Linked DNA regions of Macaca fascicularis. The protein of the gene in region 1 purifies or fractionates together with the protein of each later gene. This does not show direct contact. Links are inferred from orthologs where the notes say so. Each region holds a gene or a part of one and is shown in the gene's direction. Other genes may lie near its edges.

Region 1 (5,052 bases):
GTTAGACCTTCTGAGGGTGCACCAGGCTCTTGTCCTTTAAGTTCGCGTGGATATAACGATTCACCTTGAAATCTCAGAATAGTACTCATGCTTCTACAAAAGAGAAAATAGTTTTATTGAGAAATACTTTGAAGTGTTATCTAATTGGTAAAATGAAGAAACAGCAAGTAATGGCATACTTCCTAATGGATTATGTACTATTGTTAAAAATATTAGCATGTATTCATTTAAAAAATATTTCCTGAGTACCTATTGTATACCGTATTCTAAGTGCTAGGGATATAGCTTCAAGTCAAACAAAGTCCTGGCCCTCTTGGAGCCTGCACTCTAGTGGGGAGTACAGAGGATACACTGATGCACAGATACCTTACACTGTGTCAGGTGGCGATGAGTGCTGTGAAAACTAAAGAGTAGGGGATAGAGAATGATGGAGACTGTTCTTTTAGACAAGGTGGGCAGGGGAAACCTCTGAGTTAGAAATTCTACAGAGGAACTAGTGCTGTAATGCTTGCAAGTATTAAAGGTAGAATGCTTTTCTTGATGGTAGCTTTACTACTGAATAAATATCAAAAGGACTTTAATTTTTATATTAAAAATACTCTTCTTTCTTAAGTTGGACACGTTGTCTCAGGTAGAAGAGGAGTCTTTGTTAAGAAACGATCTTCGTCCAGCTAACAAACTTGCTAAAGGAAACAGGTTATTCATGAGATTTGCTACAAAAGGTAAATATGATATTTGGTATTGTTTCGTATTTTCAATCAAAATGAGTTATTATGGAATGACATCCTTCTTTTTTGGATAGAAGTTAGATCAAGTAATCTCAAAGTTCCTTTTGAACTATAATATTCTGTGCTTATGAAATAATTGTTTGCCACCTGAGTTGGAATTTCTGATTTTAAAAGTGAATATTAACTATTTGTATATTTCTGTGACTTCTGGCTAAAGTGAGTTATTTTCTGTTAAAACTGGTTTGCCCCATATGTTTTCAGCCAGTTACCATCTGAATTATGAAAACTTTAAAATGAAACTTTATTTATTACAGCAACATCCTCCTGAACATTGCCAATGTACCATTCAGTTCTAATTCCCTTCTCATAAGACTGTTTACACACAGTGACTTTTGGTGGGCATTTAAAATGTGTATGTGTATATATGCATACACATATACACATATTGGTTTTTTCAATCATTTGAGAGTTAATTGAAGACAAAAGCCATCACCCCTAAATGTGTTCCAAAGAACAAGAACATTGTCTTATACATAGCACACTTATCAAAATCAAGAAATTTAACATTAATACAGTACTGTTACCTAATCCATAGTCGATATTCAAATTTTGTCAGTTGTTCCAATAATGTCCTTTATATATTCCCCGCCCAGCCCCCAGGTCTAGGATCCATCCAGGACTGAGTGTGTAAGTATGTAATGTTTCCTTAGTCCCCCTTAAGCTGGAACTACTTCTATCCTCCCATGTTTTCCAAGAGTATAGGTTTACTATTGTATAGAATGTCCCTCAGTTTGGGTTTGTCTGATGATTCCTCGTGGTTGAATTTGGGTTGTGCATTTCAGACAGTCGTGCCACAGAAGCAATGTCATGTCATTTCAAGGCATCACGTCAGGAGGCCTGGGATACTTACTCGTCCCAGTCCTAGGGGCGTTCACTTTATTCACTTGGTTAAGATAATCATCACTAGGTTTTTCCACTGTAAAGTTACTATTTTTCCATTTGTAATTTAAAAATTGGTGGGCTGGCCAGATACAGTGGCGCATGCCTGTAATTGCAACACTTTGGGAGGCTGAGGCAGGAGGATCATTTGAGCCCAGGAGTTCGAGACCAGGCTGGGCAACATAGCAAGACCTCATCCCTATTTTTAAAAATTAAAAAATGAATAAAATAAAAAATTGGTGGGCAGATACTTTGAAATCATGTAAATAGCTGTTGCTCATCGGAGCTTCATGCAGTAGCTTTAGTATCTGTTGATGCCTTTCTGACTGTATCATTTCTTTACTAGTAGACAGGTGCTCTACGGAAGAGCTTTCTGTTTTTACGTATTTGTTTGTTTATTTACCTCAGTTTAGAATCCTGGCTTCTTTATTCAGTGGGTTATCATCCAATAATATCAGTATTTTATTTTATTTATTTTTTTGTTTGTTTTGAGATGGAGTCTCGCTCTGTTGCCAGGCCAGAGTGCAGTGGCGCGATCTCAGCTCACTGCAAGCTCCACCTCCCAGGTTCATGCCATTCTCCTGCCTCAGCCTCCCGAGTAGCTGGGACTACAGGCGCCTGCCACCATGCCCAGCTAATTTTTTGTATTTTTAGTAGAGATGGGGTTTCACTGTGTTAGCCAGGGTGGTCTGGATTTCCTGACCTCGTGATCCACCCACCTCGGCCTCCCAAAGTGCTGGGATTATAGGCTTGAGCCACCGCGCCCGGCCTCGATCTCTTGACCTTGTGATCCGCCTGCCTCGGCCTCCCAAAGTGCTGGGATTACAGGTGTGAGCCACCGCGCCCGGCCTGATATCAGTATTTTAATTTACAAATTGTCTTGGATTTGGCCGGTAGAACCCCTTTCTTTCTTTATGGCACAGCAAAACATCTTGCTTTTCCAGACTCATTTTGCATCTTACCTGCTCCACATGTGGAATCAGCCATTTCTCCAAGGAGCTGGTGGGCATGGTTTGAGGGGTTTGGGGGTTGGGGGCTCTACATGCTGGTTTGTGTTGTCACGTTTACCTGCAGCACTGGATATATTTACAGTGGTGTTTGTTCTTTACAGTCAGAGTGTCCAAGAACTGTAGAAGGCCTTTGTATTACTGCTTTGGACAAAAATTTATGATGACTGACCACCTTTCTTTCCTGTTAACTGACATTTCAACTTGACATATGTGATCTTTACCACATTTACTCATTTAAGTGGCTGTTTGAGTACATTCTACATGTACAGTACTATGCTGTTTTTTTAAGCCATTCTGAGGAACACAATAAGCTGGAAAAAATGATTTACCAAATACATGGAATTGTATATAGTCTGTTTCCTTAATCCTGATTCTGTGTTGTTGGCATGTTATTCCAAAGTGAATATCATCTTTCATGGGGTGGCAAAAATGCCACCATTTTGAGAAAGCCTTTTTGATTCCTGAGTACCTGTAATGACCTAAAGCTCTTTTATGCCTCTTGGAACCTTGTATCTTGTATTGTTTATTTTTGTTTTCTCCATTAAGTCATTTGGCTCCAAAACAGCAGTTTTAACCTTGTTCATCTCTGTATTTTGCTTTGTCCCCTCTACACTGCATTGCTGTAGTGGGCACTCAGAGTGTGAATGTTGGTAGTGGATTTTTACTTTTTGTTGGCAATTTGCGCTGATCTGATTCCAGCTATGGAAAACATTTAAAAAAAAATTCAACATTGTCTTCGTACTCTCGGGAAATCCTAGGTGATTATTGTCATTCATTTGTAGATGACAAAAAGGAGCTTGGAGCAGCCAGAAGAAGTCAGTATTACATGAAATATGGGAATCCAAATTACGGAGGCATGAAAGGAATTCTTAGCAATTCATGGTAAGCCCAAAACCGTCAAATGCAATAGTATTTAAGTTTTTCTTAATCCTTCAGTTGGCATTCTGTGGTGAAATGTCTAAACCCTGTGTAGACTGGGAGGAAGACAAGAGGGAAGAATTCAAGATTCTTAAATGTGGTAAATGATGGGGAATGCTGAGTTTTAGTTAGTTACATTTAAAATATCTGTGTTAGTACCTAACATTGTGTCAACATGTAGTTGAAATGAATTAGTGAGGCCGGACGCGGTGGCTCATGCCTGTAATCCCAGCACTTTGGGAGGACGAGGCGAGCAGATCACCTGAGGTTAGGAGTTTGAGACCAGCCTGGCCAACATGGTGAAACCCCATCTCTACTAAAAATACAAAAATTAGTCTTGCATGGTAGTGGGCGCCTGTAATGCCACCTACTCAGGAGGCTGAGGCAGGAGAATTGCTTGAACCCAAGAGGCGAAGGTTGCAGTGATCTGAGACGGTGCCTTTGCACTTCAGCCTGTGAGACAGATCAAGACTCCATCACAAAAAAAAAAAAAAAAAAAAAAGAAATAGTGGATTTCAAGGTCCTTCCTATTAGTTTTTGATTGTGTGCTTATTTTGGCATTCTTGCAGGAAGCGAAGATATCATTCCCGTCGTATTCAGCGGGACGTGATCAAGAAGAGAGCCCTGATTGGGGATGACGTTGGCTTGACGTCGTATAAACATCGGCATTCTGGTAGTTGCCTGCTCAGCTCTTGGGTAGACACATGTTTGGCTCCTGAAATCATATTTTTATTCTTAATGCAATCTTTTAAGGTTCCAAACTTTATCATCCTCTCTTCCTTGCCCTCACCCTCTGCCAACATATAGGAAAGTAAGTCAAGTCACAATTAATTTTAAGTTGCCCAAAGAGGTCAAATGATTTTGTAAAAGCTGTTCTATCAAAAAAGGCAAAATGTGACATAGGAAAAATTAAAACATAACTTTCCTTAAGATCCTAATTTTTCTACTATTAATATCAGCAGCTGCATGAAAACAATTTTTTTTTTTTAAGATGGAGTCTCGCTCTGTCTCCCAGGCTGGAGTGCAGTGGCTTGATCTCGGCTCACTGCAGCCTCTACCTCCTGGATTCAAGCAGTTCTCCTGCCTTAGCCTCCCGAGTAGCTGGGACTACAGGCACGCGCCACCATGCCCAGCTAACTTTTGTATTTTTAGTAGAGACGGGCGTTTCACCATGTTGGCCAGGCTGGCCTTGAACTCCTGACCTTGTGTTCCACCCACTTCGGCCTCCCAAAGTGCTGGGATTACAGGCGTGAGCCACCGTGCCTGGCCAAAAACAATTTTTAAAATTATTCTATCAGATGAACTGATTGTATTGTTCTTTTTCTGTATTAAAAATAGGCTGCTGTGTTGAGTGCTTTGTGCGTGTTGGTTTGTGCATGTGAATGCCTCAGAAAAGTGGGATATCATGACCTGGGTTTCTTTCTCCTTTTTTTGGTGCTTATTGTAAAAGAACCATT
Region 2 (5,603 bases), on another chromosome or scaffold:
TGAATCACCTCTGAGGCCTGGGCCCAGGGTTCAGGGGAACCTTCCAAGGTGTCTGGTTGCCCTGCCTCTGGCCCCAGAACAGAAAGGGAGCCTCACGCTGGCTCACACAAAACAGCTGACACTGACTAAGGAACTGCAGCATTTGCACAGGGGGGGGGTGTCCTCCTTCCTAGAGGCCCTGGGGGCCAGGCTGACTTGGGGGGCAGACTTGACACTAGGCCCCACTCACTCAGATGTCCTGAAATTCCACCATGGGGGTCACCCTGGGGGGTTAGGGACCTATTTTTAACACTAGGGGGCTGGCCCACTAGGAGGGCTGGCCCTAAGATACCGACCCCCCCAACTCCCTAAAGAGGGGAGGAGATATTTATTTTGGGGAGAGTTTGGAGGGGAGGGAGAATTTATTAATAAAAGAATCTTTAACTTTAAATGGTTTGGAGAGGCAGTGATCCCCGACTGACTCCCCTGAGCTGGAGGGAGGGAGTGAGTCAGCCAGCCGCGGGGGCGGGGGTGAGGCTCTGACTCACACATTCTCAATGCCTGGAACTCAGCCGGCCAGGACCTGGCTGGCCCTAACAGTTTTCCAGGGAAGATCTTGAGGAGAAACCCCAGCATCCCGCACCTCTGCCCTCTCCACCATCCCCAAAAGCCCCAGGTTCTAGACTGAAGCCTTCCTTTGCTCAGCAATCTTTATTCAGTTCTTCTTGGGGGTGGGATGCCTCCCTTCCCATGCTCCCACCCCTCCCATCCCAGAGCTCCGTTGGGCTCAGTGTCCTCTGTTGAGGGAAGGTCTTGGTGCCCAGATGCCTGGTCTGCAGGAGAGGGAGGAACCTTGTCCCTTTGCAGGAGTCGCTGGTCTCTTCTGTTGTGGGGAAGAAGGAAGGTGGGAGGGGCAGTCCACCAGCACTCAGAGCTCCGTTATGTCTCCAGCTGGGGTTGCAGGGTAGGGGGGACTGGGGGTGTCCCCCAGCCTCAGCAGACGGAGGGCCTCGGGGATGAGGCTGCCAGGGTAGCGCCAGAGAAGCAGCTCAGAGCAAGGGCTTCTAGAAGAAGAAATGACTGTCAGGGCATGGGGCTAAGGCTGGCCTAGCTGAGCACCTCCCACCAGGTCCAGGTCCCCAGGGACTCCTGGGTTCCCAGCACTTTCCGAAGAGCGAAGATGAGAAACAACCCAGAGGTCAGCTAGAGCTAAAAATGGCACGATGAGGCAGGGCCTGAGGTCAGCTGCGAGGACCGCCTGTGATTCTGCAGAAGGCCTGGCCAGTGGAGGAGCCTACCTGAGTGGGGGCAGGGCTTGGGGGAAGGCCATGGGGGGGCTGCAGTAGGGGTGGTCATTGTGCAGGCTGAGTTGAGAGAAGTGGGTGGCCATGTTCTCCTCAGACAGAAAATGCTTGCGCAGAGGCTCCCTGGGGAGAGATGGGAGAGAGGCAGGCTGGGATATTGAGACAGGAGGCAGCCTGTTGGGGACCAGAGGTGACAGAGCTCTCGTTGGGAGTCCCTCCCTGCCCCCAAACTCACTGCTCCTCCTCCAGGCGCCGCTTGGTGCTCATGGGCACAGCTCCTCGGAGAGGGGAGCTGGGGAAAAAAGAGAGCCTGGTGCACCCCACCCTCTTGGCCCCTTCCCAAGGATATGCCTGCCTGAGCCTGCAGCATCAGCCAGGAGCCCCAAGCCCATTACTGTCTCAGCTGGTGCTGGTCCCCCCTCTCCTGGGCCATCCAGCAGCGTACTTCGGAAGTCTGGACCCTGAACTGCAGCCCCAATACCATCTCAGCTCACGCCTAAGCCCCACCGATTCGCCCCACCCCGTGTTCATCCTGCAGACCAGCCCTGAGCACCCAGCCAAAGCTCCTGCGGCCCTTGGTCAGGCCCACCCTGGTCCCCCACACGCACCTGGCGTCCAGGCCCCGAGTCACCCCCAAGGCGGCCCGCGGGAGGCGCTGGGCCCCACCCTGGGGGCCTCGCTCCAAGGGCTGCTGAAGGATCATTGGGTTTTGGGGTCCTGCGGGTGGGATCTGGGCGACAGGGGAGGAGTCTCTGAGGGCGTGGCCCAGCGAGGATGGGCGTGGCTTTAGGCGGGCACAGCGGCGAGGTTCTGCGCGGGCGCCGAAGAAGGGCGGCGCGTGGCGGAAGGCAGGCTTGCTCCTCGGGGTGGGGGAGGGTATCCGGCTTAGCGGGGCTGCGGTGGACACCACTTCTTAATGTCGGGGGTCTTCGCGGCGCTCACCTCGGCTCCTGGGGTTCAGGACGGTACGCAGCAGCCCCCTTCGCGCCGAAGGCAGTAGGGCGCCACGGAGAGGAACCGCTGTAGGCACGTAAGGCCTCGTGAAGTTGCGTCGCACGCGAAGCACTCTGGGACTTGTAGTTCTGGAGATGGAGCGAGCTGTGCCGCTCGCGGTACCGCTGGGTCAGGTGAGACGGACGTGGGGCGCGTTGCCTTCTGGGATTTGTAGTCCATTCATGGCTGGGACGGGGCGGGCAGGGAATTGTGCCCTTTGAGTCCTATTTTGCCTGGGCTATTTGTGGAACTCAGACGCTGACCGGGGGGCGGGAGAGTAACCCAGAAGTGCCTCAGGGGCTTAACGCAAGTCAGAGAGTAGGGATTATAAATCAGTACGTTTTTCTATGTTGGGGTAGTAGAGCCACCCCTATTTTTTTTTTTAATTTTCTAGTTCCTGCAAAGCACTTTTTTTTTTTTTGAGACGGAGTCTCACTCTGTCAACTAGGCTAGAGTGTAGTGGCACGATCTCAGCTCACTGCAACTTCCGCCTCCTGGGTTCAAGCGATTCTCCTGCCTCAGTTTCCTGAGTAGCTGGGACTACAGGCGTGTGCCACCATGCCCAGCTAATTTTGTGTTTTTAGTAGATACAGGGTTTCACCGTGTTGACCAGGCTGGTCTCGAACTCCTGACCTCAGGTGATCCTCCCGCCTCAGCCTCCCAAAGTGCTGGGATTACAGGTGTGAGTCACCATGCCTGGCCACATTTTTTTTTTTTTTTTTTGAGACAGAGTCTTGCTCTGTGCCCCAGGCTGGAGTGCAGTGGCGCGATCTCGGCTCACTGCAAGCTCCACTCCCCCGGGTTCACGCCATTCTCCTGCCTCAGCCTCCCGAGTAGCTGGGACTACAGGCGCCCACCACCTCGCCCGGCTAATTTTCTTGTATTTTTAGTAGAGACGGGGTTTCACCGTGTTAGCCAGGATGGTCTCGATCTCCTGACCTCGTGATCCGCCCGTCTCGGCCTCCCAAAGTGCTGGGATTACAGGCTTGAGCCACCGCGCCCGGCCATTTTTTTTTTTGAGATGAAGTTTCACTCTTGTTGCCCAGGCTGGAGTGCAATGGCTCCATCTTGGTTCACCACAGCCTCCGCCTCCCAGATTCAAGCAGTTCTCCTGCCTCAGTCTCCCAAGTAGCTGAGATTACAGGCATGCGCCACCACTCCCAGCTCATTTTGTATTTTTATTTTTTTTTATTTTTTTTATTTTTTTTATTTTTTATTTATTTTTTTTTTTTTTTGAGACGGAGTCTCGCTGTGTCTCCCAGGCTGGAGTGCAGTGGCGTGATCTCGGCTCACTGCAAGCTCCGCCTCCCGGGTTCACGCCATTCTCCCGCCTCAGCCTCCCAAGTAGCTGAGACTACAGGCGCCCGCCACCACGCCCGGCTAGTTTTTTGTATTTTTAGTAGAGACGGGGTTTCACCATGTTAGCCAGGATAGTCTCGATCTCCTGACCTCGTGATCCACCCGCCTCGGCCTCCCAAAGTGCTGGGATTACAGGCTTGAGCCACCGCGCCCGGCCTCATTTTGTATTTTTAGTAGAGATGGGTTTCTCCATGTTGGTCAGGCTGGTCTGGAACTCCAGACCTCAGGTGATCCGCCCACCTCGGCCTCCCAAAGTGCTGGGATTACAGGCGTGAGCCACTGCGCCCGGCCCCACATTTTTAAATTTTTTGTTGAGACGGAGTCTCACTATTTTGACCAGGCTGCTCTCGAACTCCTGGCCTCCCCAAGCAGTGGATGACAGGCATGAGCCACCACACCCGGCTTCAGCACTGAGTGACAGCCCCATGGAAAGCTCTTGTCTATACACTAGCTCATCTAATGGTGATGGAATCTTCTGTGAGCTCCACTTGACAGTTGAGGAAGCTGGTAGGAGAGTGCTGGGTGCTTGCTCAGAGGTCCCTGAGGCATCACCTCGACTCGCCCCTTCTTCAGTGTCTTCTTGGAGCCGCCCATGGGACTGCATGGGCAAGTGCTGGCTTGGGGCCGGGCCGCCTCAAAAGAGGGCTGAGAAGTCAGGACAGTGGGAAGCCTGGCAGGTGTTGGGGGAAGCAGGAAGGAGTCTGTGGCTGGGAGGTTTCATACATCCCAGGCAGGCCTCATCCAGTTCTTCCCTGCAGACAGAGGTGTTCCAGGCCTTGCAGCGGCTCCATATGACCATCTTCTCCCAGAGTGTCTCACCGTGTGGGAAGTTTCTGGCGGCTGGCAACAATTATGGGCAGATTGCCATCTTCAGGTACCCTCTGCCGCTGTCCACCCATTAGCCCTGGCACTTGGCCCTCATGGGACGGATGTCCCTGTTTCTGACTCCTGGGTCCCCTCCGCTGTCCCCTGCAGCTTGTCCGCTGCTTTGAGCTCCGAAGCCAAAGAGGAAAGTAAGAAGCCGGTGGTGACTTTCCAAGGTGGGTATAGCTGTGGAGTCTGGCTTCGGGACTTTGGGTGGAATTGGTCAACTCAGTTCTGCATTTCTCTTTAGCCCATGATGGGCCTGTCTATAGCATGGTCTCCACCGATCGACATCTGCTTAGTGCTGGGGATGGGGAGGTGAAGGCCTGGCTTTGGGCGGAGATGCTCAAGAAGGTAAGGAGTTGAGCTCGGGAAAGGGCTGGGGTGCCGGGACCCAGAGAGAGCCTTTGAGGTCAACTGGTATTTTCCCTTTTGAAGGGGTGTAAGGAGCTGTGGCATCGGCAGCCTCCATACAGGTGAGCCAGGGCCACATGGATAGAGGGGGCATCGGGGTGAAGTGACTTCCTCACTGACCCTGCCTTTCCTTCCCCAGGACCAGCCTGGAAGTGCCCGAGATCAATGCTCTGCTGCTGGTCCCCAAGGTCTGAGCCCCATGTGACTGTTCTTGTCCAAACTTTGATCCTTCACCCTCTGCCTACCCTGATTTGACATTGACTTCCTGCCTCACCCTGCTCCCTCCACAGGAGAACTCTCTCATCCTGGCTGGGGGAGACTGTCAGTTGCACACTATGGACCTTGAAACTGGGACTTTCACGGTGAGCAGGGTCTTGGAGCCCTAGAGCAGGTCCAGGCCAGGGAGAGGCACTCTTCCTAGGTCTCCTCCTGATATCGCCCCTCTACATGCAGCGGGTCCTCCGGGGCCACACAGACTACATCCATTGCCTGGCACTGCGGGAAAGGAGCCCAGAGGTGCTGTCAGGTGGCGAGGACGGAGCTGTTCGACTTTGGGGTAAGGAGGTGGCTGGCTGGAGGGCAAGATGGCAGTGAAGGAGGCTGAGGTGAATGGGGCACCACTCACAGTTCTTTCCCCGCAGACCTGCGCACAGCCAAGGAGGTCCAGACGATCGAGGTCTATAAGCACGA

What was found. The genes of interacting proteins can lie anywhere in the genome.
Region 2: the proteins of NCBP3 (region 1) and THOC6 purify together in Homo sapiens (co-immunoprecipitation; 3 studies listed by BioGRID and IntAct, with this or other methods). This does not show direct contact. The link is inferred for Macaca fascicularis from reciprocal best matches to the Homo sapiens genes NCBP3 and THOC6.

Annotation. Positions count from the first base shown.
Region 1 is NC_088390.1:3,867,647-3,872,698, reverse strand, and holds part of NCBP3 (nuclear cap-binding protein subunit 3), read left to right. Parts: intron 1-613; coding exon 614-722; intron 723-3,459; coding exon 3,460-3,559; intron 3,560-4,164; coding exon 4,165-4,268; intron 4,269-5,052. UniProt on the Homo sapiens protein: Associates with NCBP1/CBP80 to form an alternative cap-binding complex (CBC) which plays a key role in mRNA export. NCBP3 serves as adapter protein linking the capped RNAs (m7GpppG-capped RNA) to NCBP1/CBP80.
Region 2 is NC_088394.1:3,819,744-3,825,346, forward strand, and holds the start of THOC6 (THO complex subunit 6), read left to right. Parts: upstream 1-2,087; 5' UTR 2,088-2,371; coding exon 2,372-2,410; intron 2,411-3,975; exon of another isoform or gene 3,976-4,245; intron 4,246-4,393; coding exon 4,394-4,509; intron 4,510-4,610; coding exon 4,611-4,675; intron 4,676-4,749; coding exon 4,750-4,853; intron 4,854-4,937; coding exon 4,938-4,975; intron 4,976-5,052; coding exon 5,053-5,101; intron 5,102-5,203; coding exon 5,204-5,275; intron 5,276-5,366; coding exon 5,367-5,469; intron 5,470-5,554; coding exon 5,555-5,603. Other genes in the region: HCFC1R1 (host cell factor C1 regulator 1), read right to left, coding at 908-1,043, 1,278-1,406, 1,519-1,575, 1,892-1,986. UniProt on the Homo sapiens protein: Component of the THO subcomplex of the TREX complex which is thought to couple mRNA transcription, processing and nuclear export, and which specifically associates with spliced mRNA and not with unspliced pre-mRNA.